Rattus norvegicus: one gene and its partner. The main gene of each other region encodes a partner of the protein of the gene in region 2 in a complex. Links are inferred from orthologs where the notes say so. Each region holds a gene or a part of one and is shown on either strand. Other genes may lie near its edges.

Evidence for each region. The genes of interacting proteins can lie anywhere in the genome.
Region 1: the proteins of Prelid1 (region 2) and Triap1 are in contact, whole or in part, in a crystal structure (PDB 6I3V), measured with the Homo sapiens proteins. The link is inferred for Rattus norvegicus from reciprocal best matches to the Homo sapiens genes PRELID1 and TRIAP1. Residues at the interface, in NP_037369.1 of Homo sapiens: Trp15, Asp16, Phe19, Ala20, Trp23, Gln24, Tyr26, Pro27, Val34, Leu35, Thr36, Glu37, Asp38, Ile39, Val40, His41, Arg42, Val44, Gln48, Lys49, Leu50, Leu51, Ser52, Arg53, Leu55, Thr57, Tyr79, Leu81, Asp83, Ser84; in NP_057483.1 of Homo sapiens: Met1, Asn2, Ser3, Val4, Lys12, Tyr15, Asp16, Phe19, Asn20, Trp22, Phe23, Phe27, Leu28, Gly30, Asp31, Ser32, Phe41, Tyr44, Gln45, Val48, Gln49, Ile52, Ile57, Pro58, Ile59, Leu62, Glu63, Phe64, Met65, Gly66.

The regions. Positions count from the first base shown.
Region 1 is NC_086030.1:46,927,967-46,931,977, reverse strand, and holds Triap1 (TP53-regulated inhibitor of apoptosis 1), read left to right. Parts: upstream 1-1,211; 5' UTR 1,212-1,245; coding exon 1,246-1,392; intron 1,393-2,799; coding exon 2,800-2,883; 3' UTR 2,884-3,705; downstream 3,706-4,011. Other genes in the region: Gatc (glutamyl-tRNA(Gln) amidotransferase subunit C, mitochondrial), read right to left, coding at 842-1,149. UniProt on the Homo sapiens protein: Involved in the modulation of the mitochondrial apoptotic pathway by ensuring the accumulation of cardiolipin (CL) in mitochondrial membranes.
Region 2 is NC_086035.1:9,310,707-9,314,930, forward strand, and holds the start of Prelid1 (PRELI domain-containing protein 1, mitochondrial), read right to left. Parts: upstream 2,806-4,224; 5' UTR 2,665-2,805; coding exon 2,573-2,664; intron 2,042-2,572; coding exon 1,816-2,041; intron 757-1,815; coding exon 643-756; intron 549-642; coding exon 470-548; intron 203-469; coding exon 60-202; 3' UTR 1-59. Other genes in the region: Rab24 (ras-related protein Rab-24), read left to right, coding at 3,202-3,318, 3,398-3,466, 3,680-3,758, 3,864-3,931, 4,014-4,113. UniProt on the Homo sapiens protein: Involved in the modulation of the mitochondrial apoptotic pathway by ensuring the accumulation of cardiolipin (CL) in mitochondrial membranes.

The DNA of each region.
Region 1 (4,011 bases), on a different chromosome or scaffold from region 2:
ACTGACAACCAAGAGCCTGCAGGCCTCAAGCAAACTTTTTTTGGCTTCAGGAGCAGTGCCACATCTTCTGAAGATCTTGGATGGGGAAATGACATCAGGTCAACCGCTGCGAAGTACTGGGTAATGAGGTGCGGGGTAATGTTAGGCAAATAGTGATAACTTCTCTGCATCTGAGCATCAGATCAAAGACCGGAAGGAATCAGACTGGAAGGTGAGAAGAACAGGTGACTAACACGATTTAAACTTCGCAAAGCATTTCACCGATTTCCTGAAACTGATGCTACGTGGGTAATACAGGCTTATAATTAGCACTGATGAAACAGCCAGATTCTATCTCCAAAAACAGGTGAAGCATAACTTGTTATTTGGATGTCCCATATTAGCATAAAACTGATTTGAAGATACATACGTACATACATATATGTATATGTATGTATGTATGTATATATATATAAATATATATATGTATATATGTGTAAATATATATATATATTTCTTCAGCTATTTAATCTGATGCTCAGGTAGGCAAGTGAAAACACCTTAGAGGGAATGAACGTGGTTAGTAAGCCGGTACAGGCTGGAGGCGGGTCCTGAAGGAACAGTACACCCGAGAGGGTGGTAGGGGCTCTATGAAGTAGGGGATTTTCGGACTTTGTTCCTATTTACATCGAGACTGGGAAGACTAGAGGATTCTAAACGGGAGTGACAGGATCTATAATGAACTAGGGGAAGAGTGAAGCCATCCTCGCGGTGACCTGACAAATTTCCAATTATGCAAAGAATCTGAAACAGCCTCCAAGGTGCCCGAGTCAAGACGCCGAGGCCGCAGCCGGGAGCTTACCTGTCCTCCAGAACCGACTCCAGGGGCTCCACCCCGTCGGTGTCCACGGCGTGCAGCTGGTCGGCAAAGGCCACGGCTTTCTCTAGCCGGTCCACCGCCTCGCGGCTGCTGAAGTTCACCAGTGCCAGCCGCTCCAGATGCTCGACTACCGCGGCGGACACGCGATCGGTGCCCTCCGGGACTAGGCGTGGAGCCTGGGTCTTCGGGTCCGCCGCCTGGACCTTTCCGCGTGGACCCACTTTGGAAGCAAAACTTCGGCCCCGGTCCAGAGGAGCCCGAAATTGCACCCTCGCCGCCTGTGCCCACATCTTTGCTTCTCGGCCTCCGTAGCGACAAACGGTGGGGCGACGTGCGCGCGCGTGACGACATTAGAGTGCGTCGCCGTCACTGCAGCTGCGGTCGCCATGAACAGCGTCGGGGAGGCTTGCACTGACATGAAGCGCGAGTACGACCAATGCTTTAACCGCTGGTTTGCTGAGAAGTTTCTCAAAGGAGACGGCTCGGGGGACCCGTGCACCGACCTCTTCAAACGCTACCAACAGTGTGTCCAGGTGAGCTTCGCCCGGACCAGCCGCAGGGCTGCAGCAGCCCTCTTCTCCGCCATCCCACCGAAATTGCTTGGGTGTCGCCGCTTGATACACTGGGATGTTTTCGCGGTGCTTTGCTTTTTACATAGTACATTAGTATTTTGTTGTTGTTGCTCATTTGTTTGGTACTTATTCCAACCTTGCAAGTAGTCATAATTATTCGTATCTTTAAAAATTGCCGTGGCCGGGGCGGTGATCGCGCACACCTTTAATATCCTAGCACACAGGAGGCAGAGGCAGGCGGGTCTCTTGAGTAAGAGGCCACCCTGGTTTACAGAGTTGAGTTCCACGACAGCCAGGACTACACGGAAAAACTCCGTCTCTGGGCGGAAAAAAATGTATGTGTTCCCGTCCGGGATATGTGTTCCCGTCCGGGATAATGTCGGAGACAACTAACGGAGTCAGTTTTCTCCTTTCACATTTATGTGGGTTCTGGGGATAAAGTTCAGGACACCAGGCTTGGTGACAAGACGTTCTGTTATCTATACTTTACACATGGAAAAACTCGTACTCAGAAATAGGAAGTGATTGTTCAAAGGCACTGGAGTCTGGTGACCTCGATTATTTTGGTGGTGTCATTTCACTGTTAAGAGTGGATGTGTTTACCGTATGTTTTAGACTGCTAAGGAATTGCAGAGGTCCCGTTTTGTTACGATCTCTTCGTTGCTCTGTTTTTCCTCCACCTGTTGTACCAATAAGGTTTGATTTCAGGCCAGCACTTTTTTTTTTTAAAGATTTATTTATTTTTATTTATATGAGTACATTGAAGCTGTTTTCAGACACACCAGAAGAGGACATCGGATCCTATTAGAGATGGTTGTGAGCCACCATGTGGTTGCTGGGAATTGAACTCAGGACCTCTGGAAGAGCAGTCAGTGCTCTTAACCACTGAGCCATCCCTCCAGCCCTCAAATCAGCACTTCTAACCTAAAACCATCCCCTGGATTCCAGAAGCTACCTTTAGCCAGTTCTCAGACAGTGAAGGTGACTCAAGGTCACATAGCCGCTTAAACTGAGATTCATATTAAACACTGTCACTAAGATAGAGATAGGTACCTGAACTGACCTTCCCAAGAGCAGGCGTGCATACCACACAGGACTTACATGACAGTCTGCACGTCGGTGCTGCTTGGTAAACCAGTGCTAGAGGTACTCACTTTTAATCCCATGACTCAGAGGCAGGCAGATGTGAGTTCTAGACTACCCGGGGCTACACAATGAAACCTTGTCTCAAATAAAGGGTGCCCCTTGTATTGTGGGTTTCAAGCCATTCCAGTTCAGTCTGGTTTACCTCTGTACCATTATACTTCAGTTACAAAACATGGACTGCAAGCTTCCGTGGACTTATAGTACATTTTCTTCCTCCTTCAGAAAGCAATCAAGGAGAAAGAGATTCCTATTGAAGGACTGGAGTTCATGGGCCATGGCAAAGAAAAGCCAGAAAACTCCTCTTGACCTGCCTGTCACTTGGAAGAAGTCAGTAAATTGAGGGGCCTCTGGGTTTTGTCAGGGAAGGCTGTGAAGCTAATCTGGGATTGGAAGAGTTTAGAGGAGAGTTCTCCACCTTGGTGTTCTGAAGGAGCAGCTGTCACTCCTGCTTTGAGGCAACTTCACTTTTGCTGACATCTTGCTGAACTCCTCATGCTACAATGGGAGAGCTTCTTGGGGGGTGGGGTTAGGTTGCAAAACATGGCGTGGAATCATCTTTAACTGGTTCTCGGATGTAAATATGGTGAACTGGTCAGGACCGAGGCTGCCTGACAGCGTTTGCTGCAGAGGACACTGGGTGTACCCTATGGGAGGCATTGCTCACAATGGTTGGCCTCTTTTTCCTCTCAGGGAGCTAATGCTCTGAAAAGGGATGCGGACACAACCTCCATTTCAATCACTGCTTGGAAACATGATTGTATTTTTAGAGTAACAGTTTCAACTGCTGGTGGCCTGGGTTATGGGAGTAGAAAACAGCTTTACTGAGCTCCTGCCTTAACAGAGGTGTCACCTTAACATTCAGAAGCTTTGGAAATGACATCAACACCACTTTGGAGCTCACAGCACTGCTGCTCATAACTCCAGCACCCAGCTGAGCAAGAGGCACCTGCATTACAGGTTTGCTGTTGCTAACTTTCAACTCCACGAATTAACATCAACATGCGTTATCACATAGAAGGCAAAATGCATCCAGCTAAGTGGGGGAAAGGTGCTTACTGATTTTTGTTTGCCTACCATGCCCTAAGTCTGTAATCATGAAATAAATAAATCTTAAAAATCACATCTTACTCTCCACTTCTGAAACCTGCCCTCTATTGAACAGTATTTCCTGTTGTCTTGTGTATCTCATTTTGTTGCAGAGCCAGCTTGGCTCTGAACTTGGTTTAAGCCTAGGTGACTGATCAGCACTTAGATTAGAAATCTGACTTTGTGGCTGGCCTCCCACCTTTGCTGAAACCACACTGGATTACGAGTTCACTATCACACTCACCTATATAAACAGCCCCTTTAAATATTATTCAGTGTGGTTCCAAACCAATGTTACGTAGTCCTCACACCTGCCTACCTTCAACAGGATTTATTATGTCCCTAAAG
Region 2 (4,224 bases):
AGGGCTGCAGGTTCATCTTTAATAATCAAGTACACGGGGGAGGAGGGAGAGGAAGAGGGCTATACGAGCTGCTGCTGCTGCTGCTTGGTGGCGGCCTTGTTGGCCAGGTCCTTGGCCTTCTCTGTAGCTGCCAGTGCGGTCTCCTTTGCTTTCTCTTTGGCCTCCTTGGCTGTCTCAACAAGTGTTTTTGAAGGGGCCTCACCTGTGGCAATGACAGGGGCTGGCTTCAGATGGTGCCCAGAAGACCCATCCAACCCCTCATCAACCTCGGCAGTCACTGTTGAAGGGCCCGGCTTCTTAGGAATAGTTGGAGCCCCCTGTTCCTGACCCTCCAGCCCTTCCGGGCACACATAAAGAGTCTCAGACTAAGACTGGCCCCATGCTTCATTGGTTAAGCAGAGGTAGGACCGCTCCAGCTATTGGTAGTGCGGGTCCTCCCGATTCCTGAAACAGTGTCTAGGGCTCTCACCTTGTAGCTTGGCCAGGATGTATTCAAAGCCCTTCATTGTCTTGGTCACATTGCTTTTGAACCGGGCAAGACCAAATTCCTGGAAGGAGGAGAATGATGGGAGAGTTGCTCAATGACCCAGGGCCCGGCCCAGCACGGCCTGGCCCAGCCCAGCCCAGCCCCCAACCTCTTACCTGGACAGCTCTGGAGACACCAAATAAGCTAGAGGAGACCCAGGCCTCCCGACGGATTTCGGTCCAGCCGCTATTGTCAGAGTTCACACAGTAAACACATCGTTCCTCCACCACCTTCAAGGGAAGTCAGGCTGAGCACCCTGAAGGGGCACGCTCAGACAAGCTAGCACCATATTCCTGCACTCAACATCGGGTGAGTTCCTGCCCCCACAAAGTTCTTCCCATTTTGTATCTCAGGCCCGGAGAGAGGCTGTTCTGCCTCTATAACCTCAATGCTGACCCTTTGAAGTAGAACGCAGTTTCCTGGGATCAGCGGCTATTCCACCCTGATCCAGGGCTTTGCTTGGGGCCTCTGGATATAGAGGTGAACAGTGTTTCTCATCTGCTTTCTCCCCTCTGAGCTTCCTGATAGTGTGTGTGTGTGTGTGTTCTCGTCCCCTCCCCCCCAATAATGACAGCTTTTATTATCAAAGGGTGTGGGAGCCTCCTGAAGAACGTGAAGAGAAGTCACAAACACACCACTGTGTTACCAAGCAGAGCTCTCAGCTGAGGTGACTTCAGACAGTGCCGGGCAGGAAAGGGTGCCTTCCTCACATTGTGCCCGTGAGGGGCACATCTTTATAAAGCTTTTCTTTTGCAAAACACACAATTCCCACCTCTCAAGTTTACAGAAGCTGAGAAAGAATCATCTCGAAGCTTGAAGGTTAGTCACACAGGCAAATGACACTCTGAATATCCCCAAACATGGGATTTCAAGCCTTCCGAAGGATCCAAGGAACATGATGCATCCCCTCAAATCTCATGCAGAAACTGAGGCACATTCCAGACACCTCCAAGCCTTGATGGAAGTCACTGTCTCCCTTTGTCACCCAGTATAACTCCTGAAAGCCTATGTATGTATGTATGTATGTATGTATGTATGTATGTATGTATGTATGTCACCAACCGACTGCTCTGTGTACAGCACTTGTAACAAGCTTTGAAAATGGGTGTCTTTCCCCACCATCTGAGAGCCGAGGGGCAGTCCCGGAGAATCCAACCACTCAAAAAGGATAGACCAATCTAAGGGCAGAACTCTACAGATGAGGCCCGCCTCTGGCCGCAGAAGTTCCCACAATTCTCCAGCCTGAAATCTGAAGGGCAACTATTTTGAGGAACCAAAGGAAGTCTCACCATCAGCCGGGCGTGGTTGATGTTCCAAGTGAAGGTGGTCATGGTCTGATTCTGTGGGTCCACAATCGAGTCCTCCAGGATGTACACCGAGTGAGCAACGTTGGCGGGAAACAGTCGCTCTGCCCAACGTGGCATCCTGTTGGTCTTGGTCAGGAGTCTCCGGGACAGAAGCTTCTGGTCAGGGGTCACCTCCCGGTGCACTATGTCTTCGGTTAAGACATGTTTGCTGCAAGTGTTAAAATGCAGATGATTCTCAGGAAATGTCTACGGGTTACTATTTAGAGCCTCCAGGTCATGGCTTCCTGCAATCTTACAGAGTGATCTGTACCCAGGTTCGGAATTAGAGTGCAATGAACCTATCCCCGGGCAAATTCCAACTCCCTCCTCCACCCTGACATGGATTCTGTGGCTTTCCAAATCGAGCAAAATCTCAAGAATTATACCACTAGAGAGCGCCACCAGCAGGTGAGCAAGCCATCGTCAGGATTTCAGGCCCCGAAATACCTACCGCTCAACTCTTCCTGTCTCCCTAGGACCGACCGCAAAATAGAAATCTAGAGCCTAATATAAACCACGATCTACAACCTTGCAGACTTGGCCTGATCTTAATCCTATAAGGACTTTGTGCCATAACTGTGGCCACAGTCACCGGAGATAGCTCACATCGGACTTTCTGTTCTAGTTTTTCACGGCTCCACTATTCAAGGACAGCCAAATGGAGAGAGGAGGGCGACTGGCTCTACCTACCACCACGTACCTATAGGGATTCGGGTACCGTTGCCAGAAGGCAGCGAACACTTGGTCCCAGGAACTTCGGAGCACGCTCTGGCCCAGGAAATACTTCACCATCGTCCCGACCCGGGCGGGCTCAGCACCCGTGCAGCATCAGGGTGAAGAGCCCGGGGGTGGGGAGGGCACGTGGCAAGGCGCACGCCCGCCAGGCTCGCAGCTCAATCACCGCGGCGCCGCGCCCAGGTCCCTACCGCCGCCATGAGAGGCTATAGGACTGCGCGACGCTTCCGGCGCCAGCCGCACAGGATCGGCCACTTCCGGCGCTCGTGTCACGTGACCGGGCGTCCCGCCTCTTGTGGTCCAGTCCCAGAGGTGCTGTTTGGAGTTAGCTATAGGGAACCCGGTTTCAGTCGGTAACCCCGGCGCGGCGGAGCTTCTGTCGCAGCGACGGTCGCGCGGGTGAGCAGCGCAGGGCCCTGCGGCGCGGTGGAGGGCGCTGTCCGCGTCCCCGCGCCGCGGCTCTGTAAGGGACGGAGCGCCCCGGGCCGAGGCACCAGAAGCCTGCGAAGTGCGAGGCCTTTGGGATTGGGGTCTGAGGCTTGGGCTCTGCCTGGGCCGCGGAGACCCTGAAGTGGGTGAGGCGGCCCCGGGAGCATGAGCGGGCAGCGCGTGGACGTCAAGGTGGTTATGCTGGGCAAGGAATACGTGGGCAAGACGAGCCTGGTGGAACGATACGTGCACGACCGCTTCTTGGTGGGGCCCTATCAGAACGTGAGTGCACCCCTGCGGAGCAGGCTTGGGAGGAAGGGGGCCGACCGGCATTCGACTCTTATCTCTTCCCTGGTTGTAGACCATCGGGGCTGCTTTTGTGGCCAAGGTGATGTGTGTTGGAGATCGGACGGTGACTCTGGGTATTTGGGTAAGTCCCTTGAGAACAGAGTCTTGAGCAAACCTATCCCCGAAATTTAATGTCTTGCCTCTTAAACCGGTCAGCCGGAGTCTCATACAGGTCGTTCTTTTCTTCCGCACACCCATTTACTCATCTTAAGAAAAAAGGAGGGGAGGTGTCTGGAAGATGTGGGCCTAGTTTGTAGTCTTGTGAAGGAGCTCATCGACTCCTTTCACCCCTCAGGACACAGCAGGTTCCGAGCGCTACGAAGCCATGAGCAGAATCTATTACCGGGGTGCTAAAGCTGCAATTGTCTGTTATGGTAAGGGGTTGGACTCTGGCCTGTTCAAGTAAGAGTTGGGTTACAGGCCAGCATCAACGGGAAGCCACTGTTCCTTATTGTGTCTCCTGTCTTACCCCTACCAAGACCTCACCGACAGCAGCAGCTTTGAGAGAGCCAAGTTCTGGGTTAAGGAGCTCCGCAGTTTAGAAGAGGTAGGTGACAAGATCCTACAAGATTAGGGACAGAGACTGTATTGGTCTGTGGAGATAATTTCAGCCTTGTCTTCTGCTACAGGGCTGTCAAATCTACCTGTGTGGCACTAAGAGTGATCTGCTGGAGGAAGACAGGCGGCGCCGTCGTGTAGACTTCCATGACGTTCAGGACTACGCTGATAGTACCTGTTTTTAAGTCTCTGAGGATGGGAGCTTGAGGGGGGGGGGATATCTGCTTGAGTGGATTTCAAGGACGGGAATGACAGCCTTGGTTTCTTTCTAGCCTTCTTGAA